Struthio camelus: one gene and its partners. The protein of the gene in region 4 interacts with the protein of the main gene of each other region in a pairwise test. Links are inferred from orthologs where the notes say so. Each region holds a gene or a part of one and is shown on either strand. Other genes may lie near its edges.

Evidence for each region.
Region 1: the proteins of CCDC33 (region 4) and NDOR1 interact in a two-hybrid assay, tested with the Homo sapiens proteins (2 studies listed by BioGRID and IntAct). The two-hybrid records come from large-scale screens. The link is inferred for Struthio camelus from reciprocal best matches to the Homo sapiens genes CCDC33 and NDOR1.
Region 2: the proteins of CCDC33 (region 4) and ABLIM3 interact in a two-hybrid assay, tested with the Homo sapiens proteins (2 studies listed by BioGRID and IntAct). The two-hybrid records come from large-scale screens. The link is inferred for Struthio camelus from reciprocal best matches to the Homo sapiens genes CCDC33 and ABLIM3.
Region 3: the proteins of CCDC33 (region 4) and ARIH2 interact in a two-hybrid assay, tested with the Homo sapiens proteins (2 studies listed by BioGRID and IntAct). The two-hybrid records come from large-scale screens. The link is inferred for Struthio camelus from reciprocal best matches to the Homo sapiens genes CCDC33 and ARIH2.

What each region holds. Positions count from the first base shown.
Region 1 is NC_090961.1:12,913,803-12,921,327, forward strand, and holds the start of NDOR1 (NADPH-dependent diflavin oxidoreductase 1), read right to left. Parts: upstream 3,005-7,525; 5' UTR 2,948-3,004; intron 1,797-2,947; exon of another isoform or gene 1,588-1,796; intron 1,148-1,587; coding exon 1,013-1,147; intron 523-1,012; coding exon 445-522; intron 1-444. Other genes in the region: TMEM203 (transmembrane protein 203), read left to right, coding at 3,307-3,717. UniProt on the Homo sapiens protein: NADPH-dependent reductase which is a central component of the cytosolic iron-sulfur (Fe-S) protein assembly (CIA) machinery.
Region 2 is NC_090954.1:7,751,928-7,759,156, forward strand, and holds the start of ABLIM3 (actin-binding LIM protein 3), read right to left. Parts: upstream 3,015-7,229; 5' UTR 2,866-3,014; coding exon 2,847-2,865; intron 1-2,846. UniProt on the Homo sapiens protein: May act as scaffold protein. May stimulate ABRA activity and ABRA-dependent SRF transcriptional activity.
Region 3 is NC_090955.1:10,214,117-10,221,663, reverse strand, and holds the start of ARIH2 (E3 ubiquitin-protein ligase ARIH2), read left to right. Parts: upstream 1-4,544; 5' UTR 4,545-4,670; intron 4,671-6,839; exon of another isoform or gene 6,840-6,990; intron 6,991-7,547. Other genes in the region: SLC25A20 (mitochondrial carnitine/acylcarnitine carrier protein), read right to left, coding at 1,124-1,251, 3,309-3,401, 3,915-4,019.
Region 4 is NC_090953.1:23,678,168-23,685,039, reverse strand, and holds the start of CCDC33 (coiled-coil domain-containing protein 33), read left to right. Parts: upstream 1-3,863; 5' UTR 3,864-4,257; coding exon 4,258-4,588; intron 4,589-6,872.

The DNA of each region.
Region 1 (7,525 bases), on a different chromosome or scaffold from region 4:
TCCCTCCTGCCGAGTCCTGACAGGGCAGGGAGCACAGCCTGGCAGCTTCCTCTGCTGAGTATGTCTGTTCAGCCAGTGGCTGTAACCTTAGAGTGCCTTATTCTACAAAAGCAATCCCTGAAGCTAGCTGCTAGTGCTACCTGCCAGAAAGATGATGCCCTGTGAGGTCTCCACAAATCTGAGGCTCTTGCTAAGGCAGGGGCTCCTCTTAGCTGTTAAGCTGCTGAAATCTCACCATCTTTGCTGTTCACATCCCACCAGCAACAGGAGATGCTTCTCAGCCCCACTCAGTGAGCCAGCATCCACCTGACATTACCCTGCAAGGATGACTGGTGTTGTTTCAAAGCCTCCAACTCCAAGAAATCCATAACTGAAGCTGCTCAGGAGTAAATCCAGTCATAGGACCAGATCCATAAAAGCAACATAGACTGGAATGCATCCTACCTTCATGTTGTCAGGTGGGTCGCCCTGGCCCGTGGTTGCACACACAAATACCACCAACAGCTCATTGATGAGGTTCGCCTGTGCACAGACAAGCATAGAAAGGTGCACTCAGGTCAGCAGCCTACAAACATATGCCCCTAGCTAGCCAGACCCAGCTGATCATGTTAGATTCAGTTCATGGACAGACCACGCTTGGCATAAACCCACAGCCCCCGCATGGCACATCCTCCTCTGACAACACTGTACAGTCATCTGCTCCCCACACACACTGCCTGCAGCAAGAGATCGTTGGTGCTCCTTGCCTTGTAGGAAGTGCGCTTGATGAAACACTGGATAAGGCTGGGCATCTGTCATCTAACAGTGATTGTATCCCAAGAGTCACTGCTCAGTTTTCACATTTTCAGCTGAGTTAAGCACAAGCTGCCCTCAGGGAGGACAGAGAGGCATGATCTTATGAAATATAGGAGGTCATAGCAAGGGTGGGAGATGTCTGAGCCCTAGAAATGGGATTGGTAGAGATGGAGCAAGACTAGAACTGCCTGGGGCACCTCTCTGCATCACCACTCACCACATCATAGCTGTCCAGTGCCTCCACTCTGCACTGAAAGTGGCGTCGTTTGGCTTCTCTGCCAATTCTCTCAGCTGTGTCCTGAGCTGTCCCAGTCTGGCTGCCAAAAAGAACGAGGAGAGTCCGTTCTGCCATCTGAAAGAGAAAGTACCAAAGAAATCATCAAGAGGGGACTTAAGGCAAGGTAAGGGAAGGTAACGCTGGACTTCTCTCTGCTCTGGGCTAGCAGTCACCCTGAAACCTACCCAGGCTTCAAAGGAGTTCTGGTAGCTTTTTAATCAAGTGTACTTTGGGGGAAAGACACTGCATACTTTGGCAAACAGCAAGGACGGAGATAGTCTAATAGTTCAATGAAAAGGTCAGGATTCAAGCCTCCTGGGCTCTCTTTCCATCCTCAGAGAGCACTGAGTAGGTGACACCCTCTTCACCCAGCATCCTTGTCTGTAGGAGCAGGAGTGACAGTACTTGGACAGTCCTTGTCCTTGCTGCCAGGGCAAAGGGAGGGGGATGAGTTGGGGGTATAAAATCCAAGGACAGTGTTTCACATTCTAGCTCATTTTAGCTGGCCTCCCCACCTGCGGTCAGTACATCCTTGGAATCAGTCTTCAGGTTTCCCATTTTAACACATCTGTTTCCCCTAATGCCATGAGACCTGACAGCCGAGGAGGGGAGGCAGGCAGGAGCAGAGCCTGGGAGCTCAGTTTGACTAGACACGGTGCTCTCAACTGCAGGAGAAGACGCCTCCTGTGCTGCTCTCACCCAGCAACAAGGGGCCTAGGTATTACTGGAAATCACAGCACAGAGGAAATTCAACCCAGCAGGATGCCAGAGCCGCAAATTTACCGCACCCCTACGGGGAATGTGTACCACTTCCAGAAAAGCTGCTGATAAAAACTAAGGAGGGGACACTACTGGCCTTTCTACGGACCAATTCCTGCAGAGGGGCTGCAGCTCCAAGGGACCTTCCCCTTGCCCAGAGCCGAATGGATTTTTCCAGAAGAGCTGGCACATCCTATGTGCCCTTCTGGACATGCACACTGCTCGCTCAGCTCCAGGAACAGAACTGCTTTTCCCTGTGCACGTCTCTGCCACAACCGCCCACTGAGGAGAGGCAGGTCCCCCATCACCCCAGCTTCAGGGTCCCTCGGGGCGCTGCCCTTCGCAGCGGGAGGCAGACCCTACCGCCAACAAGCAGCGCCCGCAGGGGCCCGAGCCAGCTCCCAGCCCTGGGGGGAGGGAGGCCACCCTGCATGGGGGACCTCTGCCACAGGGTGACCGCCCCGGTCTGGGGAGCCCCGGGGTCTTCGGTGGGCAGCATCGGCCACCGCTCACCCAGCCTGGGGGCTCCTGAGGGCCAAGGGGGCTGGAGAAGGGGCACCTGTGGGAGGGGGGAACACCCTAGGGGAGGGAAAACCTCAGGGGGGCACCGAGGGAAGGGGGAGACGCCCCAGGGAGGGGGGGCACCGAGGGAAGGGGGGGCGCCCCGGGGGGGGGAACTGAGGGAAGGGGGAGACGCCCCAGGGAGGGGGGGCACCGAGGGAAGGGGGGGCGCCCCGGGGGGGGGAACTGAGGGAAGAAGGGGGCGCCCCGGGGAAGGGGCACCGAAGGAAGGGGGGCACCGAGGGAAGAGGGGGCGCCCCGGGGGGGGGCACCGAGGGAAGGGGCGCCCCGGGGGGGGGCACCCCGGTGCCGATCCCTGCGAGCGGAGAGGCGGTGGTTGCCGGGGAGGGACAGCGAGGACCGGGGAAGGCCCGGCGGGGCCCCAGCAGCGACTCCCAAAGCACCGCACCACCCGGCCAGGCGGCTCCGGGACGGGACGGGACGGGACGGGGCGGGGCGCCCGGCCCGGCTCGGCTCGGCTCGGCTCGGCTCGGCCCGGCCCGGCCCGGCCCGGCTCGGCTCGGCCCGGCCCGGCCCCGGGGCCGCGGCACCCACCGTGCGCCCGGCATCGCCGCCTCCGCTTCCGCCGACGTCATCAGCCGCCGCCGGGGCTGGCGCGACCTGCCGGCGGGGCGGCGGCTGATGGGCGGCGCGGGCGCGGGTGCGGGTGCGCGGCGGCGGCGGCGGGGCCTGGAGGGCCGGCTCGGGGACCTAAGGCCGGGGGCTGGGTCAGGGGCCGGGGCTGGGCCGGGACCGCGCCGGGGGCGGCGGGGTGGGTCGGAGGCCGGGCCGGGCCGGGGTTGCAGGGCCGGGCCCGGGCTGCGGGGTGCTGACGGCATGACGGGCTGACGCTGTCCCCCCGGCAGGGCCCGTGTGCCCGCGGTGGCGGTGGGCCAGGCCGGGCCCCCGGGAAGATGCTGTTTTCCCTGCGTGAGCTGGTGCAATGGCTGGGCTTTGCCACCTTCGAGATCTTCCTGCACCTCCTGGCTCTCCTGGTCTTCTCCGTGCTTCTCGTCCTGAAGGTGGACAGCGAAGGCTCGATGCTCTCCTGGTGGACTGTGTTCATCCCCTTCTTCGCCGCCGACGGCCTCAGCACTTACTTCACCACCATTGTCTCCGTGCGGCTCTTCCAGGACGGAGAGAAGCGCCTGGCCGTGCTGCGCCTCTTCTGGATCCTCACCATCCTGAGCCTGAAGTTTGTTTTTGAGATGCTCCTGTGTCAGAAGCTGGTGGAGCACACCCGGGAGCTCTGGTATGGGCTCATCATGTCACCCGTCTTCATCCTCCTCCAGCTGCTCATGATCCGAGCCTGCCGGGTGAACTGATACCGAGGGAAAGGCTCCCAAATGACTGCCTCTTACCCTGGATAGAGCTTTGCCTGAGCCACCAGGGAGCCCTGAGCTCCAAGTTTGCTAAGTTGGGCTTTTGCCCTTTTTTTGTTTTTGTACAGAGTGATATTGGTTGTTAGGTTATGCAGGTCTGGTGTTATGAGAAGAGAGTTTGTAATCAACCAGATTACGTTATTATGTTGTATAGCTCAGCATTTCTTCAAAAGATCTTTTTTATACAGCGCCATTGATTTCAGGTTCACTCAGCTCTTGATGTTAATGTTAATATATCCTGATATGCAAGCACTGTTTGATATGCCAGTTAATTTAAAATAAAAATGTACAGATAGTGTAGTTTTATTTATACAACTCTTTTTCCCTGGAAAGTATATGTAGTTGAAACTGCTGCCTGGAGAATAAGAATTATTTGGAGGTTAGTTGTTGTAGATATCCTTGTAAAACTCAAATGGCTACTAGCCTTAAACAATGAAGCTGTTATCTTGCTTGCCCTGACCAGTCTGAGGCCATGGTTTTAACAACGTGTTTTCTTCAGCGACAATCCTAGTGTAATGTATTCCCGTTTTTTCCTCTCATTTCCCTGAGCAATACTTCATGCCTTCACATTGCCAGCAAGATTTTCTGTGCGGTTGTACTGTGAGCCAGAGGGCACTGATGTCTATTTTGGAACAGAAGTATATATTTTTTTCTTTGTATTTCAGATCTATTCCCAAAATATAAAGGTGTTGGGAGGGCAAAGTATAAGAGCAGGAGCATGAAGAGCTGCTTCTGAAGGTGGGCTCTCACTGAATCACAGCTTTTGTGTGAAACACTGTCCTCAAATATCTAGAAATGACCCACCGTAAATGGGGGTAGTTTAGTCTTTCTAGGGGAAATAGAGATCAGCAAGTTATTGTTAGGTTCACAACGAACCCCCATTGCAAAAGACACTTTAGTATCATTTAGCTCCGACCGTGAGGATATTCAGGGCTATAGATCTGTCTCTTACCTATCTATGAGACATTGAACGTTACTTTGGTGCCCAGGTCCAGAGGACTGTTCTCCTTTTGACAATGGATTTTAGAGACCTCTGTACTATAATGATGACGACTATCGGAAAACACCTCCCAGCAGTCATGGGCTTCCTTTCCAACCTCAGCAGTGCTCTGTGACCCACCCCTGTCTTTGCCCCATCTACCTAGCTACTGGTATCATCATGTGTTCTCTGCTGCTCTCAGGTTTACATTTCATGGAGATAGGATCTTGAAATGGAGAACTGCTGCATACACCACTCAAGTTCAGGAGATGAGGTGGGATGTAACCAGCAGAGCATGCATTAAGAAAAAGTTGAGAATTGCCACAGTGCGGGACTATATTGTAATCTAACAAAGTCAGGTGCTTTTCAAATTGCATAAAGCAGATTTTCTCTGGCTTCATACCTGAAATCTAGAAAATCTGTAGTTACCTAGCCTCTTGTGTAACTTGTATTTGCTTTTAGCATTTTGGAAGCATGCGGGTAAGAAAGGACCAATTTTCCAAGTTTATTTTTCCAGTGTACTGATTTTATAAACTTGTGGCTGTGAGTTCAGAGCAGATCTCACTGGATATTCCCTTAACAGGTTCTCTCTTGAAAAAGCTATCCACGGTGAGAGGTCTGATGCTTTTCTAAAAATAAAAAAAAAAATAGTAATAATAAAAATCCTAGAGTCCTGGGGAAAAGAGCTGTGTTACAAACTGCCTCATGACCCCTGCACAAGGAGTGCTAGAAACGTTGCTGTGTTGTTAAATGGCATGAACTGCAGGCTTCAAAGCTTGCTGAGGCTTGGGGAAATCTGTGGTCTGACTTACAGGTCAGTCTCCTTTTCACAGCATGTTGAGCAAGAGAATTTTTGCACAGAAAAGAACTTAGAGGAAAAGTTAAGTGACAAATAACACCTTCCCAAGGGGCTGCTCTTGATTTGGAGCTGGAGTAAAAAGTCCTGTTCTTAGTCTTTGTGAGCAGATCCAAGCATGCAGCCTAAGAGGTGGTGTGGCACAGGAAAGCAAATAGCAACAAAGAGCATAATTCCACATAATTTGTCGTCATAATCCAGTAATGCATATCGTTTACTTTTCTGCTGCAGCCATTGGAGATAGTCTGATGGATACTGAATCTAAGCAAAGCTTCACCTCCGTTCGGGTCACATCTGGCTCCAGCTTTGGCCCAGTGACTCTAGATGGCCTATCCTGGCCTGGCATCAGGGTCTGAGGCTGAAAGCACAGCATAGGATCACCCATTTTTCTCCGTCCTGGTGCACCCTTAGGTGGCGCTGGGACCCAAGCGTTAGGTAGGACCTGGCCTCGCAGAAGCTCCTCAGCTCCTGCTTCACTTTGTTATGTGGTTTTCCAGGCTTCAGCACCATCCAGGTGCTGCCATAATGTCCCCATACACTTGTCCGCTCTGTCTGCTGGGAGCCAGCATCTTGCTCACTTGGGTCTAGCTAAAGCAAACCAAGGACACATCATTTGGAAGGAGGGCAGCTGGCTACTCCTTATCCTCTTCCACCTCAGGCCACTGTGACTTCATCCCTGCTGTTGGTGTCCCTGTGCTGCAGCTGTGCCCATGATGTGACAAGTCATTCTGAGTGTACAAGCTGCAGATATTGCATCACCAGCAGCTGCAGAGCTGCTCGTGTGAGCCTGGGGAGGGAGATAGCTGGGGGGTAAGGCCTGTCTGCAATAGGGGGTTGTAGGGGAGCAAGGCTGGGATGATCTGATGGGATTGCCAGTGTCTGCTGAAGGGCACAAAAAATCAGAGCACCAGAGGAGGGATCGTATGATAGGTGAAGGTTGAGGTGAACAGCAGGGAGCAGGAGAAGCAGTAGAGCCTCTGACTCAGGATGTGGCAGTAGCAGAGCTGCTTTAGGGACTACTATTGGACTCTCCCAAAGCTCTCCAGGCACTCAGCTAATTAAATCAAAGATGGGGCAACCTCCTCCCCTCAAAAATTCCAACACTCATCTTTCAGCCTTGGTGCAATGCTTTGCAGAGGAACAGGGGCAGTTTCCTGCTGCTGAGCCATGGCTTGGCTTGCCAGGGACTGTCAGAGCAGGAACAGAGACCTAACCTTACAAACAGCCATGTCACAGGGGTGTGGTGCCCAGGGCTGGCTGGATGCCACTGCTCACCAGGACAGAGGGGGCCAATGCAACATCTACCTGCATTCAGCTTCAGGCTGCCAGCTGCCGAGCTTTCCGGCAGCTCCTCCGGCAATTTGTGGCTATCTTTGGGGACAACCAGGAGCCAACATTTCCCAGCTCTGCTTTTCCAAGGTAAGGCAAGCTCCCAGGTGTGTCTGGGGGACACAAGGGAGGCACAGTCCCAAGCTGTGGCACGTGGGGTGCTGTACTCAACAGGGATGTGAGGGCTGTGTGCGTGGCCAGGGGTGGCAAGGTTTGCCTTGCAGCATGGACCCAGCCCTGCCCCTCTCCCAGGACTCACTCCTTGTGCAAAGGAGTCACTTTTCCCTCTGTGCCCAAGGAGAGCCAAGTCCCACAACAAAACTTCTTGGAGCCTTTGTGTCCCTTCTGCCCCAGCAACATGACACCCCAGGGATCCTGCCCACAGCTGGGGAGATGCAGGTGAGCCACAAAAGCTGCTCCTTTCTGTGAACATCCCCTCCAGTGAAAACTTTCTGGATAGCGATCAAAGGGCCCAGGGCAGAGCTCTGTGTAAATAATGTGGGCGAAGGGCTGTGAAGCTGGAGCAGGAATTACCCAGGTAGGCAAGCAAAAGCCTACGTGTTTATTCTCCTCATGTACAGACTTCC
Region 2 (7,229 bases), on a different chromosome or scaffold from region 4:
AAAAGAAAGAATAAAAGCAAGCAAGGGAGAGAAGGGGGTGACGGCCTGGATGTGACAGGCTGGCGAGTTTGACAGAGGAGTCTTGTTTGCAGCGTTTTCACTGTGCTACGACCAGAGGGAAAGCCAAGGAATGCTTCCCAACAGCCAGCACCAAACGCAGCTCCGCCAGCCTGGCTTCAAAGAGTTTTAATTGCCAGTGGCACAAGCAGAACAGGGGAGGGTGGCAGTGGCAGAGGGGTCTGAGGAGGACACAAGGCAGAACAACGCTGAAGGCTTCTGCTGTAGCACAAGATCCATCATGCTCAGGCTTTTTCCCCCAGGAAGGGGAACTCCTGTCATTTCTCCAACCACCCTTGCTCCAACAGCAGAGATGCATTTGACCCCACGCTCTGCCTGCTGGGGGTTGAGCTCGTGGTGTTTCGCACCCAAGGCCGCAATGCCACAGGCTCCAACGAGACCACACCATGCCCTGCGTCAGGGGCATTTCAGACTGCCAGTGCCTCGGAGCCTAGGCTAATCCCATGTGTAGGCCCACAGCTCAGCTGGGGCCCGTGCAGGTGGCAATCAGCAATGGCATGTTTCAGACCTCTGCTAGTTTTCTGGGGGAAGGAGAGGAAGGTTCTGGCAGATCTCTGAGCTGACTAAGAGCTCTGAATGCCCAGTGGCTCTGCTATGTAAGCCAAAGCAATTAGCATTTCTTGGAGACACTCTATATAATCTTCCCTGAGTGATGGGGGAGGACTGCCACAAGCACAGGGATGGGCCCAGGCTGCACAGCAGCTCTGGAACCACTTCCCGGGACCGGTGACATGATGGATGCAAGGCAAAGCCGAGCCCCTCCTGCAGAAGGGGACCTTCTGCCAAGGCCCCTGGGACCACTGTGACAGCCAAGTGCTGGGAAACTGGGCCTTTGCAGGAGCCACCACAACTCCACCAGGGCCCCAGATCAACCAAACCTTGCCTTTGGGTGCCACGAGCTGTCAGATCATAGAAACCCAGAAGACAGAACAGAGACCTAGCCCTTAGCACACCTCTTTCTCATCAAATCACTTCAGCTCAGCCCAGGTGTGAAGGGCCATGTTTTGGGAGGGCCAGAGACAGCTTTATCTGTCAGCTTCCTGGCCAGGCTGATGCCTCGAGGCAGGAGAAGAAACACAGATCAGCCTGGAGATGTTCAGGGAATCACACAAAAGCGGCAGAAGTGAGCCCAGGCCAGCTATCTAAAGTCAGGGATTACTTTTAATGGCTACTTGTAGAATGGAGTGAGTGTGTGCAGGAGAGAGAGCTGAGCTGATGCTGACCCCATCCCTCACAGGCACGTGCGAGGAGCGTATCTCACATCCAGGCTTTTTATAGGGTTTCCAGTTCCCGCTGGGCATGCAGTGCGGCAGCACAGTATGACCACACCACTCCCTGCCCCCAGTAATCACTCACATGCCGTTCACTGAAGTCTTTCCATTCCCTCTCTGGCTGTGTTTCCTCTTCTCTCCTTATTAGGGATCCACCTCCCCATCCATCTTCTCATTCTCCCCCTCTGTGGCTATTTTTAAAATGCCATAAAAGCTTTCAACTGGTAGCATCTTCAGGGATGCAAAGGATTTTACATGTAACCCATCACGAGCCGTCATCACCACATCACTCACCGTGGAGGCAGTGACTTTTATTTTTTAAAAAGCAGGGGAGGGAAGGACTTCCTCGTTCCCCACACAAGTGCTGCCTGGCCAGCTTGGGAAGGGCCCTACGCTGCCTCCAGTGAAATACTGGTACCTTTGCTCATCCAGGACTCCTCTCTCACCGCGGGGGAGGATCAGGACCAAGCCGCACCCCTCTGAGTGGATGGCTGCAGCAGAAGCCTTCGGCAGCAGCACACGTTCCCTGCAGGAGGCTATACGAGAAGATCATTTTGTTCACTGAGTAGAGGGCTGTGAGCTGGGGATCACCTAGCTTTGTGCCTTAGCACTTGCTGTCTGCAGCTAGACGAGGGGAGGCTTCCTTTCTAAGGAGATGGCTGTGTTTTTCTGCTTATCCTCATGTACACGTAAGCTAGGAAGCTGCCTGTAGTGCTTGGTTCCAGTACCAGTGGTCAAGAGGTATGAGATATTCAGGAGGTAGGAAATATGTTGTTGTTGTCGCGAGTAAAACTCCTCCCTGAAGGCACCAGACAGCCCCAAGATCTGAATTGCTCTGAAGATAGCCTGGATAAACAGGGAGGACCAAGGGTTTTTGACCTACTCTATCCTACAGCCTAGCCTAGGAGGAGGGAGTGAAGGAGCATTCAGGGACCATGGAGGCACTTCACTAGCACCAGGGAAACCACTTCTCTCTCCCTGAGCTGCTTATTCCCTGCAGAAGAGCCACCTTCCCCATCCTTCCCAAAAAGGAGACCTGATGCGCGTACCAAAGAAACCTCCGTGCCTCCATGGCCCAGACCCCGACACACCACCTTTGCCCAGGCACAGCCTGGTGCAAGCTGAAGGCAGACTGCCCAACCTTCATTGCAGGGTAGAGGCTCCCTGTTGCAAGTGCCTGGCTGCCTCTGCCAGCGAGCTGCGTTCACGCGCGCCAACCTAGCTGCAGGACACCAGCCTCGGCTGTTGCCAGATGGGATTACGCTGTGCATAACCTGAGAGGTGTCCCACAGCGTGCTAATGCGATGACACGCTCTGTGTCACAGACAGGACCTGCAGGAGCCCTTTTCCATCAGCTCAAATGACCAAGTGTTGGGTGTGTCTGCAAGGAAGGCGGTGCGTTGCCCAGTGCCTGGGCTCCGTCACATCACCCAAGTATCGTCTGAGAGTGATGTGGCTATTTATAGCACATAAGCCATTAAAAGGAACTCATCTTACCTTGCTCCACCTTCTTCATCCTCTGAGGACGCGGAGGTGATGCAGACGGCACCGAGGCAGACAGGAGAGCGGTGACATGAGGAGGGTCACCTCCTGCCCCCCCAGCCCCACGGAGCAGGACCGCGCAGGGCAGAACTGTCTGAGGAAGAGAGGGAGGAGTTTGCAGGGACCAGCGCTTTGCTGTGATCTGTGCAGAGACGAGAGAGGCTGTGCGAGTGCAGACGAGATCCCCGGGAAGCCTGCACTCTATCACACTCAGAGGACTGCTGCGATACCAGCAGAGAGAGGGAAAATCCGGAGCAGAGCAGGCTTCTCAGAGAGCAGGAGAAGCTGGCACTGAGTCATGCAACACATCTCCACACGCTGCCCGGCCCCAGTGCCCGTGGCACAGAGTAGGTGGCTGTGCGGCACAGGCTGCATTTGAGGTAAGCGGTAAGAGCAAGTGGGGTCTGCTCTTACCCCACTAGACATCCGCTAGAGTCTCTGTGCGTGAGCTGGAGGCCCTCTGAGAAGAGGGCCTTGCCTGTCCCAGCCCCCATTTCGTTGTGCCAAGCAAGGAGAGTTTTTCCATGCCCTGGCTGTACTCAGTACCGGATTGTTAAACTGCAACCAGCAGGGCAAGCATGAGCCATGGGGACCTGCTGGGGGCCAGAGACTTGTCTGTGAGCCTATTTGTACACAAGCATCCCCAAGTCCTTGGATAACGCAGACTTTGCAGCCACTGGCAGACAAATCAGTCTGGTGACAAAAATCTCTCACAATGTTCCCAGCTATGTCCCAGAGCCCCCGGACCACCAAGACCTTTTCTCCTGCATCGTTTTTGTCTCAGCTGGAACTGAGATGGGGCAACTTAAGATCTACAACGGCTGCCTGATGGAAGACTGGCTCCCTTCTGGCTGCGAGGGACTTGCCATGCAGCATTGAGCACCTGAGCAACATCACAGCCCTCCATCTGTCCCTATCCCCAGCCAGCCTTTGCCTCTTTCCACGAGACACCTTTGCTCTGCCTCCCATCCCAGATCTCTGCTGTTTCCAAGCTGTCCACTCTTCCGATGTCCTCAGCTCCTCAAGATTCATCAACCTGCTAGCTCCTTAATGGCCCAGAGCCAAGACAAAGGAAGGAGCAGCAACTTCTGGGGAAAGAACAACCCCAAACCTACCCCTAGTTAGGGGCCGTCGTGGCCAAGCTGGCTGGAGGATTATTTTGCCCGGAAGCGTTCAGCGACTTAACACAGCATGTGACAGGCTGGGCAGCAACAACAGACAAATCAGTCTCGATCCACCCCTGCCTGGTGGGCAAGGCCATGAAGTCTAGTCATTCGCAAAGATGCCGCCAGCACAAAGGCGGTTGCCCTCCTCACAGCCCAGCGCTCCTGAGAGGCTTGGATGAGCTGCAGCTTCCAGACATACAACGGAAATGAGTTTCTCACACAGCTTCCTTCCCTCCTCCCTCCTCTTTTAAAGCTTTCAGTAGGGGAAAGTCCTTGATGAGGGGGGTGAAACAGCCTTCTGGCACCCCAGCCTGGCCTCCTGGCAGAGTCCTCCCTGCCTCCACCAGGAATCCACCAGGCTGTGCAGGAGCAGCTGCGGTGCTAGGAGATTCCAGCCGCGATGCCTGACATGTCCCAGCAAGTGCTGCCGAGCAAGGGGAACAAACCACCACCGACCCCGCCAGCGCCAGCTCCTCAGCAACTTTAAAAATAGCTCCCCTTTTGCAAGCGCGTCTGGGCGGGGCAGTCCTCCCAGAGACACCTCTGCCTACAGAGGTGGCAGGAGGATGGTTGCCGAGAGGAAAGGGGCAAGATCTTCAGGGCCAACCTCTGCAAAACACAGATGGTGGGAAGGACATGCAGGGCCTTGAAATGTGCTTTTGCAAATGAGAGATGCTGCAAGCATGTTTTTGAGGGGTACTGTCCTGGGGCTGTACACTTTGGGAACTTGCACTTTGAGTCCTGACCTGGGCCCAGCTGCAGACTACAGCCCAGCTGTGCATATCTGAGAAAGCTTCCTACAATCCACTACTGTGATGACAGCTCAAACCCTGAAATGTATGCTCAGGGAGATCTGCCACAGGCTCCAGATGGGCTAAGGAAGGGCTCTGGGTTTAGCATCACATTAAATATGCCTTTTGTGCCCCAACAGCAGCACTGAACTTCCCAAAGAGTGCCACTGCTTGCCAAGAAGAGACACAGACCCCACCAGCTTCAAACCCACAAGGCATATGCTCCCCTCTCATACAGCCCAGCTCTCTAGAGGCTGCTCTTCTCCCAAGGATCCTTCCAGTTGTCCAGGTCTCTAACGCAATGGTTCAAAATAGAAAAGGAATAAAATATGCATCAACAGAAAAACAAGTGATGCTTGGGGCTCAGAGAAGGACTTTGCAAGGGTAAAAAGACTAAGAAGAAAGGAAGGTCAGACAGGTTGCATAAAGAAACCACAGCATTGGCTCCTTTTTCTTTCAGAATTCAGCCCCAGGCAGCAAATCAATTCCCAGCCCAGGGCTTATGGCTGATATTGATAAAGCATTCAATGGACCATACCCAAAACCGAAAAATGCATATATAAACTATGGCCTACCAAAAGCCACACCTGAGCCACCAATATATGGGAACTGTGTGCCTCAGCGTGCTGCCACACCTGATCAGTTTGGCAGTGTTAAGCTTCAAATAGCCCTTTTCTAGAAACCAAGGCATGCCCATCAGGGCTGTGCTTCACAGCACTCTCAAGCTCTTCTGCTTCCCCAGTGATTTAGGGTGAGCCTGTGGACATAAGAGCCAGAGAGGCTGGACAGAAGACGACTCAGGACAGTATGTGTCCCCCAGCAAGAACTGCCTTCTCCACTGCAGGCTCCCATCACCCAGATGGGCCTGCCTTGAGCTGCACACAAGCAGACTTCCTGGAGCTGAAACATCAGGACTTAGGCTCTGCCTTTCCTAGGGCTACCGACATCATTTCTAGTACCCCTTCACTCTGCGAAGCCCCCTTCTTTCCCTGTCTCTCTCCTCCTGAGACCTCACAATCTCCAGTCTACCCCTAGAATGCTTTCCGGAAGCACTGCAATGCTCACAGCTGGAGAGGTACTGATATATTTAGTCTAAAAATATCTAATTAGATGTTCCAACCACTTCATTACGGCACTATCATGACAGGACTACAGGGTCTGGCAGCAACAGGGTGGGTTTGCTTCCACTCCTTTGCAGAGAGCAAAGGCAGCACCACTATCCTTGCTGATAGCAGGACAGTCTGTCATTAGTCCAGCCTGCTGGCATCACAAATACAATTATCTAGCTAAACTGATCGTCACTCTGTCATTAGGAAACTTGCTATTTATTTTATAAGAGCATGGCAGGCCCTTGAAATAATTCAATTGCTTCGATTGACTTTACAGCACGCACTCCATTGGCCTGCAGGGCCACTTTCCATGGCTGCTGCTCTTTGAGGGGCAAACTGCCAAGAAAGAAGGTTTGCAGGAAAGCCTGAACGAAACTTGGTGAGAGGAGAGAGTCCATCCACCAGCCTGAGGACAGAGAGGAGCTGCCTAAGCTCTGTATTTTCTCGGTTGGCACCAAAGTGAACACAACAGAGGATTGTCCCTTTCCTAGGCTGCTCCAGGAGAACAGAGGGAATGATTTGTAGAAGGTTGTTTGTGGCAGTGAAGTCAGGGTTTAGTGTTATGGAGGGGAACAAGATGAGGCTGGAGGGCCTGGAGCTCCCCTCAGCACCCCAGTTCTGCAAAATTCAGTGCCGCAGCCCTCTCTGGAGAAACAAGGACATTAGGCAACATTCATGGTTAATTTTTGGAAAGATACATACTAGGAAGGTAGTTTTTCCATCTCTTGGAACGCTCTGTATAAGTCTCTCCCTACCTACATCTGCACCTGTATCTCTGCTCTTTCCTCTTTGTCCCATCTCCACCAATGCCTTGAACCCCTAGTCTACTTCGGCCTTCCTTAACCCTCTCTCACCCTTTTACAAACCTTCTCCATGTTAATCTACCCAGGAAAAAAGACCTCTGCTTGGAGACCAGCCTCTTCCCTGCCATGCTGCTGCACGTGAAGAGCCTGTCCACCTTCCCAGCAGTTGCTGGCAGAGCAGGAGGTAAGGAACATGAAGTGAGGCGCACAAGGACTCACTCGGTGACAGAGCCCATCTCACCAACCCCTCAGGGGCTAGGCAGAGACACCACTGCACTGGGCAACGTTTTGCCCTGCTGGGTCCCCCTTACTGGGACCGTGCTTTGTCCTCTTTTTGCTGCTTGCATGTGGTAACCTCCACCATTGCAGAGACTCCCGGAACAGGGAGCACAGGTGGGTAGTGTGGCACAGCGAAATGAAATGGGAACCAACGTTGAGTAGGAACCATTGGTACTAAGACAGCAGAGGC
Region 3 (7,547 bases), on a different chromosome or scaffold from region 4:
ATTGAGGTGATTAGGATGCTGGCAATGAGCCCACGGACCATTTGCTTCCTTGTATTCTCCAGTCCTCACCGGTTCCCTCCGGTCTTACCCTTCAGCCTCGTCCACATGAGGAAGTCAGTTACAGTGGTAAAAGAAGTGAGCAAACAGTGCCGGAGTGCCTCAGCACTCCCTCCCTCTGCGCGACCCAAGCAGAGGCAGCTTGCTCTGTGTCGCGGGAGCGGCTGGCTAGTGCTGCACAGCTGGGTGTACTCTGTATCACTGAGGCACCTCCCTGTGCAGGCAAAGCTCCAACAGAAACAGTGTCTCCCCACCCCTCCACGCTTGGCTTAACACAATGGGCTCCTGCTTTCTGACAGGACTCCTAGGCATTGTATGAATAATAGAATAAAATGTTGCTAAGCTACAGTTCTGTTCCTTTAGAGCTGTAATTCTCAATTCAGCAAAGAAAGGGAGTACTTTCGGGGGCAGGGGGGGGCTCTCCTTATGCATAAGCTAACCTGAAGAGAGACACAAAGTTTGACTAGCTTCTCAGAGAAGATTTAGCCATCCTTTGGGTTGAAAGGGACTAAGAAAAGCTTCATTCCACAGGACCTTTTCCAGAAGGTTACACGTGCCACAGAGCAGGGCTGCTCATAAACACCGCTTTTCTGAAATTAATCGTGAAGTACTTCTATGGCTATTGCTATATCCTAATATTATGGGCACAGTAAGAGTCACAGCTAGTAGGGAAAGGAGAATCACGATTCGTGACTGAATTTTATCAAGACTGCTCGACCATGAATTTAATTCTTCCATAGTTTCTGTTAATAGTGAGACTGTTCTCAGGCAGTCATTATATAATTCACGCTGCATTCATCTGAAATGGAATTGTTCTTTAATGGCTTCTTCTTGCGTAGAAAGGGAATTGCATAGCACTTGCCCACATGCTGTCTGTTTTTAGCCTGTGCTATCAGTCCCACGCTTCCAGAAGCATTAAAACACACCCATGTTTTATTTTTTAGAGCTATATTTATAACCTAGGAGAAGAGACAAATTTACACCACAACTCAATGTGCGACAACATAGCAGGCTGCCAGAGTCTTAGGGTGCCTTTCCCAAACGTCTGAATAACTCAGAAACTCACGTCAAAATATCATCAGGTTTTCGCTGTTGGAGTCTTTTTCCCAAGCCAAATCCAAAGAAGCAGACAGCAAACATGGGTGTCACTCCAACAATAGGAGCTGCCATTCCTTTATACAAGCCTCGGACTCCCTGCAAAAAATGTCATCACAAGAATTATTTGGTTTTACATAACGCTCTGCACATGTTTCGACTTACTGAGAAACAAAAAGGTTAAAACACAGGATAATATCAGAGTTAGAGTCAGCCAGTCCAATTAATTAGAGGAATAATGGGATCTATTGTTCACTTGCGATAATGCACATTTAACTGAGGCTCAGGACCTGTTGCAAAGGAAGGCCATCCTTCCTGGAAAACACTGGCACCATTTTCAGCCTTCTCTTCCAATACTGTTCATGTGGTCTCCTGTACTTACATCCCAAATACAAGGAAGTTAAAAGCCACCTGAACAATAGTCTTGTTATATTATGTCCAAAGTTTTCTCTCTCAAATACATTAAAAAAAAATCCACACATGCTTTACGAAGAAGTCATCAAACGCAACATAACAGTAAAATTCTGATATTAAGCCTGACAGTGCTGGATCAAATTCATTCTTTAGGTAAAGATAAAGCCAGGGAGACCAACTTGAACTCCTTCACTCCCCAGATGAGCTCAGCTTGGAACGAGTTCAAGAGCAGATTATTTTTGCTTTCCCTCCCTAAGCTAAAACCTTTTCACGATACAACTTTACATCCCCGATGTTTCCCTTTAGATTAAAAAAATACATCATCAGACTGCATATTTGGAACAAACTCTGATACAGACCCCAGCAGTAGCATTTATTTCATTTATCTTGCCTTTCAACTGAGGATACCAACTCCTTTCTAATTAAAAGGAGAGTTATGAATTATCTTTCTACATAGAGGCTAGATGCAGAAATTAAATATTTTCTGCCCCTCCTCCCCCTCTAAAATCAGTGTATCCCAATATATGCTTGTATGCTTCCTGGCACAACTGACTGTGTAATGAAATCCTATCTGGTTGACAAAGATCAGACACGCCTGCTCAATCTTCCCACAAGCAGTAGGAAGTAAAAGGTCTTAGCAGAGAGGCTTAACAGTTTTTCCTTATAGAAACAGATGAGTATTGAGTAGGAGCAGAGAGGCAGCATTACTTTTGAACTTCACATCAGAAGAGTGTTATTACAGTTCAGCTCTGACGTCCATGCTTCAGAAGAGGTGTTGAAATATTGCAAGGGATTCAGAAGAGAGCTACTAAAGCTTTTCAGTGCTTTGTGGGAGAGACAAGGGAAGCAAGATTTACTTTGGTTAGGTAGCAACCTATGAGTCCTATCACAAAAAGATTTCTGATCTGAGATAGCTCTTTCATTCAGAAAAGAGTGACCCAACTATATCCAATGGTTAGGAGCTAAACTTTAGATTAGCAAATAAACAGTTGGGCATTAAACCCATTTTTTCCAAATGTTAAATAGCCACTGGAAAAACTTACCAAGCAGCAAAGTGGATTCTATGTCACTTAAAGTCTTTAAACCAAGGCTGCATGCCTTTCTAAAAAAAAAATAGACTATAGTTCAATCACATGACATGGGCTGATTCAGGAGTCACAGAGTGGAAGCCAACGTCCACCTTATGAAGAAGATCAAACAAAGTTACTATAATGGTCCCTCTGACCTTTTTAAAAAAAAAGACAAAAACACACTAGGAATTCAAACTGACACTTACTCATCCACCTTCTCACAGATGGTATAATAACGTATTACAGAAGAAATGTAAAGTACTGCTTTTATTAACAAAAGTCATTGCCTATTTTAGGACTTCCAGAAAGAGCTCCAAATACCAAAGACAACGAGATTCCACCACCTACGACAACAAAGCCAGCAAACGACTGCCAATGCTAACCCCGGTCTTTAGCTTCGGATATTAATATCACAGTATTTTGAGCCACCAGTGTTTCTAAACAAAGCAAAAAGACGCTCATTTAGAAGAAATGGATAGTACATACTCCCCAAATAGATCTCCCTTCAAGTTTTGTAATCTGCTGAAAAATTTCAATTAGACTCACTTCAGCTGATAACCCAAGAATTTTATAATCTCAGGGGGTGGCATTCCCACCCCATGCCATTGCTGTGACGTACACGGACAACTGACGTTTTTGGCAGGCACTGCAAACGACAGGCTCGCACAGTACCTCTCTAACCAGAGTCTTTCGGAAGCAGTCAAAGGTCCCAGAATAGAGCAGAGGCTGACCGGGCTGGGGTTTGGGCTGGGTCTGCAGCCTAACCTGGCAAGAAGAGATAAGAAAACACTATTTTACGAAATATTACTGTCTAAGCTTTGATTCAGAGAACGTGTCTATGTGACTAGGAAGCAGTCATTTTTGTGACCAGACTTCACGTTATTGGCAAAGAGATCAGCAATGTTTTCGACATCTGCAGAAGAGAAGAGACTTGTGTTTTCACGTATTTAACGATTTCCGATTGCTTTGATGATGTCAGCAGCGTTACTTTTCCGATTTACCCTTATTAACGTATTATTGTTATTACCGAGCCCAGCGCCGGGAGGGCGGCAGGGCCGCCGCGCCCGCAGGGGGCGTCCCGCCCGTCTCACCAGCCCCCCCCCCCGCGCGGGGCACGCCGGGAAGTGTAGTCTCCCCTCAGAGACCGCGGCAGTGCACGCCGGGAAGGGTAGTTCTCCCCCTCCCGTGGGCGCAGGGCACGCCGGGAAGTGTAGTCCCTCGCTGACCGCCCCCGCCCCGCCCGGCAGCGCGCGGCGGGCCGCCGGGCCGCCCCCTCACCTTGATGGTGTCCAGCGGGTGCCCTACGAACACCAGGCAGACGCCCCCGAAGCCGCCGGCGAAGAAGTTCTTCACGGGGCTGATGGGCTGCACCTGCTTCGCCATGGCGGCGGCGGCGGCGAGCGGAGCCGGGGCTGAGACCGGGACAGGGAGCGGGGCGCTGCGTCCCCGCCGAGCAAACACCACCCCCTTCCCCCCGCGACCTTTACCCCAGTGCCCGGCCCCGCGGCATGCCGGGGCGGGCGCGGAGCAGGTCGGGATAGTGGCGGCTGTAAGCGGCTTCCCTCGAGCCGTGACGCCGGCGGAGGTCCGGGCCGCGCTGCCCGCCGCCCCGAGGGCGGTCTCGCGCCGCCGGCTCGCCGTTCCGGAGGGGAAGGGCTGGGGCGGTGGGCTCGGCCTCGCCACCTTCGGCTGCCGCAGCAGGCAGCCCCCGCGGGGAACCTCCCCCCCCCACCGCCTCGCTGGTTCAGTCCTCCCCCCCGCTGCCGCCGTCCCGGTGGTTCGGTCCGTCCCGCCTTGTCTCTCCGCTTGCCCCCCCCGCCCCAGTCCAATGGTCCGTCCCGCCCCCCCCCGCCGCACGCCAATAGTGCGGTCCGAGGGCGGTGGCGCGGCGGCGGCGGCGGCGGCCCCGCCCGGCGGAAGTGACGCCGCGCGGAGGCCAGGGTCTTCCGGCGTGCAGGCAGCGGCGGCCGGGCGGGAGGAGCCCGGGGCGCCTCTCCCTGCCTCCGCCGCCCCGGCCGCGCTCCGCGGCGCCCGGTAAGTGCGGGGGGGGCCGCGGCGGGGCTCCTAGCGGGGCGGCGGCAACCGGGAGCGCCCCGGGTGCGCCGCCGCCGGCCGGGCCCGCGCCCCCGCGGCGGGAGGCGGCCGGAGCCCCGGTGCGGGGCAGCCCCCGAGGCCGGAGCGGGCCCGGCGGCGCCCTGCGGCTTGAGGGGCCGCTTGGGCTCCGGTGGGCGCCCCCCCCCCCCACGCGCACCGCGCCGCGCGGGGCTCCCGCTGGGGCAGGCGGCCGGCGGGACGCCGCAGTGCGTGTGCTCCGTGAGGCCGGGGCGAGGGGCCGGGGCGAGCTGGCCCCGTGCTGGGGCTCCCGGTCCCCGTCCCCCCCCGCCCGGCTCTCTTCTCTCCCTCGGCTTCTCCTCCGTTTCCCTCCTGTTGTGTTCTCAATGTGCGGGGCAAGTGCGTGATTTAGCCTTGCACGGGTTGCATTCGAGGTGATTTAAGTGAACGTGGTGTCTTCCCCCTCCGACGTAGGGAGGGCACTCCGAGCACAGAGTTACCGTCGAAGGAAGGCTTGAGTTGGTACGGCTAAAATGATGTGCTGAAAAACGATGGGAGATTAGAAGGGACAGGAGTGAAACGGCTCAGATTGGTTGGGAAGGGCAAGGTAGTCGTGGTAGTGAGAATACGGACTGAAAAGGGGAAGGAGAGCAGGCAAATTCACAATGGATGTGTGATATGGCAGCAAGGAGGTCTCTGCAGAGTCATCTGTGATTAAAAGGGTGGGAGGTGATGTTCCTGGTTCTCTCTCTTGAAATGAAAAAACATCTGAAAACTCAGTGGAGAAGGAAATGGCAAAATATGCTGTGTGTGTGTGAAGAAGCTACTGAAGATGATCCCTTCATCTTGGATTACGGGCTCAAGTGACATAGACAAAGATGTGATTAACAATGATAGTAAATTTGGAGCTGGGGTTGTAAAGGACTTCAGAGGAAAGAGTGTGTTTGTCCATTTACAGGTTATGTGGATAAGTGACTTGGGAGGCAGACTTGAGTTACATTCTCAGTTTCAAAATTATCAGCAGAGAGGTGAGGAGGGACCAAGCCATCTCACATGGCTGTGGAATTATCAACTGAAAAAGCAGAAGCGGGGGGAGAGGAGTGTTCTCCAAAACACTTATTCAGGAAGCCCCAGAGAGGCAGATACAGAGGATAAGAAATCAGAAAAGGATGGCATAGTGAGATGAGATACAATGTGGGGTTGTCTAATTTCCTCTATCTAACATAGAAGAGGGAAACTGATGATCTCATATTTGAAGGCCTTTTTTTTCAAGGGGCCTTGTTAAGAATTAGATTGTAAAGCAGGAATCAGCAAGAGGGCGTTTCTGATGGAGCTGGAAGGGGGCAGAGAGGAGGGTGGACATGTTTACAAGCTCCTGCAAGGAGGCTGGAGGAAGAAGGGGGATTAAATTATGTTAGTTTTAGTGAAGATGAGGGAGTGTCTTGGATGCAGGTGGTAAAGTAGGACCTCATTCTTCCCTAAGCAGGAAAGCGATCTAAATATGGTTTAAAATTTTTAAGTCAAATCTTTGGGATTATGATAATTATTTAAGTAATCTTTATTCTTTTGACCTTCTTTTTTTAATCTTCTTTATTGTCTTAGAAATTAGTATTAGCTGTGTCCTTTGTTAGTGTGTACTCAGATCGTGATTTGGTGATGAGGGCCTTAGGCTGAGAATTAGGTGAGGTAAAGTCTGTTTCGTTTCTTTTTTTTTTTTTTTTTCATATCTTGCTTTGTTTTGCCAGCAAGTTTGTGCCTTCATCTTCCCCTCTTATTCACACATGTCCATCTGACATTAAGTTATGGTGGAAATGGACTCTTTTCCAAAGTGTCACTGCAGGAGTCACAAAAGACATGCAGTCTGCAGACTATTTTCTCCTTGGTATATCTGATTTGCCCATGCAAACAGTTCCTCTATTTGTTCATGTAAATAAGTTAGTTGCCCAGAGAAATGGCTGAAAAATACTTCTAAGAGCCCTGCAGTCTTGTGCCTCTCTTCTCCAATGACTGGCGTGTGACTACTTAGGTACTGTGTAAGCCCCTTATTCTACTCATATTATCTGGAAACATCTCATTGCTTTGATGGGACTCGCTATATGTTGAGGTAGTAAATGGATCATCCATTAACCATTTTTTTTCCTATCCCCATAGTGTGGGATGATCCGATTGAGTTTGAGAACTTTCCTAACTGGTGATACCTGTTTGGGCTTTATGATGCCCTGAGATTGGCCAAACAAAACTATTGCACGCTAGGCTATTCATATCTTCTGTGGGAATGTTCAGACTGCTTCTAGATTCTCAAGTGAGTTATTCCTTTAACATAAAATATAACAGGTAAAGTCCCATTACTACTTTTGTGCAAGAAGTCAATGTTGATACAGATTAAGCCCAGGCTGAATCATTAAGGAGACTAGAGGGAGGGAGCATATAGGGACAGTATAGGTTTGCCTTGTGTCTATCAAATCAGAGCCCACCAATGATCCTGAAACGCAGAACAGAGATCTTCGTTTGCAGAACCCTGAGTGGAAACAAAGCCAGAAAAGTACATTAACCTTTTCGTTCAGAACCACCATCTTTTCCAAATGTGTATTTGTAGGAGCACGTTTACCATCCCCCCCCCCCCCCCCCCCCCCGGTTCTCTATTTGAGTGTTTCCATTTGTGGAAACCTCAGAATTTTTTCTGTCTGTGAATGGGTTTGTGTGATGGAGGGAGACTCTCATTTAGCAGCAGTTGTATGAGTGATTCCTCAGCAGTATAAGCAGGTTACTCGGACCTGATGGCTTGTTAATCTGAAGGAAAAAACAACTTCCCTCGGCAGTTTGATGGAGTCATCTATGTTACTAGCATTGCTACTGTAA
Region 4 (6,872 bases):
CCTGGCATTGTTCATGCCTGCTATTTTTAACGTGTTTTGTTCTCGTGCCGAGTTCTGCTTAGCTTAACTGCTTGTGAATTTTCTATTAAAACCCCTGCTAACTATCGTGCCGCAGCTGCGCTGCCAGCAGGAAAGTGCCTATGGTTTTTCAGGGGTGCGTGAACGCGAGCGACGGCTGCAAAGACCAAGAAAGCGGTGCGGGATTTACGTGGATTGTGAAAGAAAGCCGGGAAAACGGGGAAAAATGAGCAGAAACACGGAAACTGAGCTAGGTAAATATGGGGTACCGATCCAGCGTACCCATGAGCTAAGCCGCCCTCGGTGCTGGGGGGCTTTGTCTTGCTCACTGGCTAGAGCCAGCACAGCCTAATTGATAAACTAAGCTGGGTCAGCGTGTCTCCCAAATGCTCCTCAGAAACGATGCTTAATGCAAGCCAGTTGTGTCCCTGGGTGCCTTCCCTGGCAAGCTGAGCTAGCGTGGAGAAGAGGGGGCACGAGAGGCCTGGGGCCGTGGGCTTCTCCTCCGCTTGGTCCTCCCCGAGGCCGCTCGTCCCGGCCTCGTTGCTGCAGGTGCTGAGCTGCTTCCTGCGCAGCCTCTCGTGGGCCCCGTCAGGGAGCTCTGAGGTCTCCTTCCTCATCAAGAACGAGGCCTGAAGGTCTTCTCGTGTCTCGCTGGCTGCGTTGGTCCAGCCGGCTGGATTTTCTCTGGATTTTTGGCTTTTATTGAGCGGCTGGGGGCTCTCTAGAGAGCAACTGCGCCGCGTTTTCAACAGAGCGGGGGGAAAAAAGGAAGGTCTCGTGCTCGTTTCGGAAGCTGCAGCGGGGTAGATGCTAACGTACCTCCTCCAGGCTTGCGGGCGCGCTGAGGTTGGTCCGCGTTCCCCCAGCCTTCCCCTCTCCTGCCGCCGCAGCCCTTCCTCGTGGGCGCCCGTCCTCGTCCCACGTCAGGAGCCGCGTCCTGCCGCCCGCTGTAGCGGGGCCGCCCGGGTCTTGGCGAAACGTCCGTGTCCTGCTGCGGGGACGCGGAGAGCCGAAGCCTGAGCAGATGCTTCCTCGGAAGGAGTCCGCGTTCCCCAGCGAGAGCTTCCCTGCTCCTCCTGCTGCTCCATCCTGCAGTTTTCCCTGTGTGCAGATGTTGTGACAGGGGTTGGGGGGGGGGGAAATCGTGCTTTTCTTTTTTTTGTGCTAATATTTATACTCTCCCAACCTCCTCTTCCCTTCCTTCCGGAGATGTATTTAGGAAGCACCTCAGGAAGGGGTCAGGGAGCTGAGGTCTGGGGCAGCGATGAGCACGGACAAGCCAACCCCGTGTCCTCGAGGGTTTGGTGAGCAAGACTGGAAAATAGCGGCGGGGAGGGGGAAGATGATCTCTGCTCCGGAGATCAGCTCTGCTGCCCTCAGCGTGACCGCGGAGATGCCTTCTTGCTTGCAGACCTGTCACCTGGGCAGGGGTGATTTAGGGGAAAGTGAGGTTTATCCAAGCTATGCACCTTGCTGGGAGCTGCATCCCGCCGTCGGGGGAATCGCGTGACTTTGCATCTGCCCCCGCTTCCCCTCTGAGCATCTCTTCTCCCACGGTGCCGCTTTCATTGTCGCGGAGGCCCTGCGCACCCTCCTCGCTGGCCTGCCTCTCGCGGCCGAAGCGGCGCCTGTTTTAGCCAAGGGCGCTGTGAACGCATCAATCGGAAACGAGCACGTGCGCGAGGAGCTGGAGGGGGAAACCCATAAATTAATATTGCTAAGATGCAGAAAACCCAAGCAAACGAGCCAAAGCTGAGATGAAGGCTGTGCCAGGGTCAGAACAAATCCCCGCGCTCCGCAGCGGACCGCGGTTAAAGCCGCTGCTTGCTCTGTGCCTCGGTTTCCCCACCTGCAGAACGGGGCTTGTGCATAAACTCTCCAGCGTCTCCAGGAAGGGCTGCGATGTGTTTGCCTGGGCCTTAGCCCAGGGCCTCGCATTGGGCAGCTACCTGAATTTTTCCTTTCTGGATGGGAAGAAATGCATTTATTTTCATTTATTTTCAGTCTCTCTATTTTTTTCCTCTCTCTCCAAAACCACACGCACCTCCTATGCTCGTTCTCCCCGCCTTCTCCTGCTTGCTCCTCAGCAAGGAGACTAGCAAGCTCTTCAGCATGGTTGCCCTTTGCGCGATGTTTATCCCCGGGGCGGCCAGCACCCCGTGGCTGGGTGGCAATCCCGTAATCGGCACGCGTTGGTTGGGCGCCTCACCCTGCGCTCACCTCGCCGCCTGCCAGCCCCGTCCCAGCGTCTCCGTCTCCGCTGGAGTGAGACGGCCGGCGGGGAGACAAAGGAGAGGGCTTAGGACGAACAAGCCCCTCATTAAAGAGTTTGGAGCCAAAGACACATGTCGGAGGGGATTTGCAGCAAGGGTTTTGAAAAGCCCTGGGGGGCGAGGAAGGGGGTAGGTGCTAGGCGGGCGAAGCGGCTTTAACCCCTTGCGGTGGGAAGGACGGGCAGCGGGTTTGCTCCGAACGGTTTGAAACCCGCTGCGGTGTTGACCGGGTGTTAACCCCTTGGGAGATGGGAGCGGTTTAATAAAACCCGCTCCCTGGCTTTGGAGGGCACGCGAGCGGAGGTGAGGCGCGTGGCAAGCCCGACCTGTCCGAGTGGCTTGTGGCAAGTCAGCTGCAGTGATTTGAGCTCTGGGCTGGGCGGATGATGCCGCGCGGAGCCCGGTGGGCGCAGTGCGGGGCACGGGGAGCGTGGCGTGGGGGGCTTCGGCGCCTGCTGGCTCTTCCCCTGCGCGGTTGGGGTCGTGCCCAGAAGTGCCGCGGCTCTGTGCTGTGGCCGGAGGGTCGCTCAGGGCTCTCCTTGCTGCGTTTTGTAGCCTGTCGGAGGGCTGCTCACAAATTCTGGCCCGCTACCGTGCGGTTGGCACTGTAGGTTTGGTGATTTTCACGCTCAGCAGCAGTTTCCCCGCGCCCCAGGGACCTGCTCTGCCTCTTTGGTGGCCTGCAGACGAGAACCGTGGCTGCGGCCCAGCCGCTGGCCGGATGTCGGAGCGGGAAGAGCGAGCAGTGCCAGCGAACCGCGGGGTCTGCAGCCAGCCCGACGCCTGCGGGGTGAGGAGCAGCTCTTCGCTCGGCCCCGGCTTGGTGCGGGCAGGCACGTTTATCCTGTTGGGTTTAGGAGCCACCTTGGGAGGCTCAACCAGCTGCGGGAGACGTGAGCTTGGAGTCCTGCGCCTGCGCGGGTGCTGGCTGAGCCTCTGGCCGGCCTTGCTGGGAAGCCGTCCTCCCCCAGGTTATTGTCCCCGCTTTCGGCGCGGCGGGGGGAGGCTGACGGAAAATCCTTGCGCCTCCTCGACTTGCAAATGAAGGCAGCTTCGGTCAGGTTTTCATTAGCACCTCATCTGGCTGCGCTGCTGGCGGATGCCGGGGAGCATCCCCGCGTCCAGCCGGGGTGCTGGGGGCCGTCGGGGCCGGAGCTGCTGGCCAGGGCTGCGGCGGCAGAGCCCGGCGTCCCTCTGTGCTCCGGGGAGGTCTCGGGGGGAGCGGGCCGTAGCCCGGTGTGAGCACCTGTGCGGCAGAGGTGAGCCGGGTGGCACGGGCTCCTGGGGGTTTCTCACCCGGGGGTGTTTTGTGTCTGGTGCAAACGGGCTGGGAAAAATCCCCTCTTGCAATGAGGATTTGTAACAGCTCCAAGGCCCCTCTGGTTTGGGAATTTGTTTGTTCCCTTCCTCCCGCCCCAGCTGCCGTGTGAGTGAGGAGGGGCGAGCGGAGGGGCTGGCTCGCCCCAGCGTGGTGCTGACAGCAGCGTCCGGAAGAGCCCAGCCTGCTGCTCCTCGTCGCGGCTCCATCTGCCAGCGGAGGCGCCCGCCTTCGAGATGCGGCCGCCATAGGGCTGAGCTGAGGACGCCCGCGCTCGTGTCGCTTGTGGCCGGCGCCAGCCCGCTGGCTGCTAGCGGCGCCCCGGCGGCCGCTGAGCCTGTTGCGTTTGATGCCGTCGGTGCGCGCCGCCCTGGCAGGGGGCACGGTGCAGGCGTGGGTGCGGGGCTAAACCGGAGCAGCTGGGAGGAGAAACGTGCTGGCTCGCGCGGGCTGTGACTAACTCGGGCACGGTCCTGTCCCCCCCCGCTTCCATGGATGAAAAACAGCAGCTTGCAGCTCTGCTGTGTCTTATCACATCAGCTGGTGCGAATTAATGAGCGGGAGCTGGGGGGAGCCGTGCATCTCCTCCGTTTGCCCGGCGTTAGGCTGCGATCCCAATTCCTGCAGAGTCCTTAAATTGCAAAAATGCCCGGTGCAGCTAGAAGGGGGGGCAGAGGGGTCCGGGTGGACCGGCAGGAGCGGGAAGGGCCCGAATCGCCAGCAAATCCGCTCTCCGTGGGGCCTGGCCGGAGAAGCCCGGAGCAGCCGGCCGTGCCGCCGGCCCCGACGTCTCTTCCGCTCGCTCCCAGCAGGTCCCGGAGTCCCCCGCCGGGGAGCAGGAGGTGGCCCGCGTGCCGGAGGCTGGCCAGCGGCACGTGGCCCGCGAGGGGATGGAGGCCGTCACCGTCACCCTGCACGGCGCCAGCAACCTGCCGGCCACTCGGGAGGGCCGGGCGCCGCGGCCCTACGTCATCGTGTGAGTACCCGCTCGCGGAGGGACGGGAGATGGGAGCGTCTCGGGCTGGGATAGGACCTCGGTGCGGGCAGAGGAGCCGAGACCCCTCGCCAATGGGATGCGAGGTCTAAAACAGCACCGGGGAGCCCAGAGGACGGGACGCTTTGCATTACCGGAGCGCTGGGAAGAAAGAATTGGTAATATTGAAAGTATAAAGTGATGTCAAAGGATCCACAGGGTAACGCTGCCTGGGTCTGGAGATGATCTCATAATAAATAAAAGAGCGTTTTAATAAATAAAACAGGATGCTGGGGTAAGGAGAAGTTGGCTCCTCGTGCATTATGCATGTGCCAGGGGACTCAATTAGCCGGCCGTGCTTTGGTCTGTGCTAAGAGGGAGGACGCTCTTTGCTAGCGCTGGTGCCTAGGTGGGATCCCACAGCCCTGCCAGGGGGCAGAGCAAATTCGGCACCGCCTGGCGAGGAGGGGGCGCGTAGCTCTCGACGCCTGGCTCTGCGCAGCTGGTTTTGCCACCGCGTTGCCGAATGCGTCCCCCTCCCTCGGGCTGCTCGGAGCTGCGCAGCCAGGAGCCAGGCAGGCGCACGGGTGGCTGGCGAGAGGCAAGCGGGCCAGAGCCCCGGCCCATCGCCTGGGGAAGGACCAAGGTGATGTCAGCTGGCCTGATGCCTCCTCAAAACCCATCTGCAGCACTCTGCGAGCGTGCAAAGCAAACTGTTGCTTGCTGGGCATCTTCCATGCTAGAAACCCCAACCTGTGGGGCAGGCGGCTGGATGCCGGTTTTTAGTGCGGTTGCTCGCAGTTCAACGTGGCTGTCTGGATCGGGGAAAGCGGCAGATGCTGCTTGCCGAGCGACGGGCTTTCCTCAGCTGTTGCTGACTGGCATCTGCAGGCCGCCAGGAGCTGGCTGGCGCGTGGGATGGAGGGTTTGGCGGGCCCACGCGTCTGCCTTGGCTCTCGTGGGAGAGGGGATGCCGTCGCTTACGGGGACGAGGCGTGCGGTGGGCTCGCAGCTGCCAAACCACTGGTGGTCTCAGCCCATCGAGCAAAGGCTTGTCCCTTTGCGCCTTGGAGAGCGGGTCTAGCCTCCCCTTGCTGAGGTCCTCCTCTGCTCCAGCCTGGACCTGAGGGATCCCCAACGGGGACGCGCGCTGCTCCGGAGATGTGGGAATGACCAGGAGAGCTGCAGTGGGCTGGTGGGACACGTGCCTGGCTGGGAGTATCTATGCACCGCATGTCCATCCACTTGGATGGAAAACTCTGCTCCGCTGCCCATCTCCAGCATGGCCCTGCCAACGGCACCCGTTGCCCGCGGAGGCGGTAGCTGAGCTCATGCCCTTCCGATGCCCCTTCGCCGCTTTTCTGCCCGCCGAAGCACGAACCGAGGGCCTGCTCTCGCCCCCGACAGCCCACATAGCTCCACCACAGGAGTTGTCTCCATTTCCATAAAGCAATTATACCCGGCTAATCTCAGGAGATTTAAACATCAATATCCTAAACGATAGCACGAGGGTGGCGTGTGATTGTTGCGTCTTTCTCTGCATCCTGATGCCTCTCCATCAGCGGGTTGCCACGGGAACGGGAGATCGCGGGCGGGAGCGATGGAGAGGAGGGGACGGGGCCCTCCAGCCCCACTGGCATTAAGGATGCAGGACACATGATGGGCCTTTTAGTAACCATAGTGAGGGCGTCAAGGCAGAAGGGAATCGCTTATTATTTTGCGGGGCGCTGGCTTTTTAAGGAGAGTAGCATGTTGCAGTTCAAAGGTGGGCCTCTGAGCAGCGAACATGATGGCTCTGAAGGAGAAGAGAGTGGTGGATGTGCTGGTGGGGCCCTGGGGTTAACCTTTCCCAGTGAAGCAGCCCGGGACCATCCCAGCCACGGGCCAAGAGAGCTGAGCCAGCCCGAACGCAAGCTGGATGGGTAGTGCTAGCCTTCAAGAGTAGCTGTTGCTGATCTGCAGATGGGTCAAATGCTGATCCTCTGTGCTAGCTGTCTGTTGTCCCATGCTCCTTGCAGAAAGGTGCATCATGGCCTCTCGCCAGGCCTTTGGCTGCCTGCCCAAAGTTGCTGCTGACCTCGGTCTCCACCACATAGTTGGCAGGGGCCTCTCTTTTTGGTGGGACAGTCGTGCATGGGCATTTGTGCCCAAGGACATTGGAAATGTCACAAAATCCATTGTGGGAGGAGTGTAAAACCACTCCATTGTCCCCTATGGGAAACCTCCACAGGGTCTGCCGTGCAGCAGGGTGGAGGCATCTTTGCTGCAAGCAGAGCTAGAAACGCAG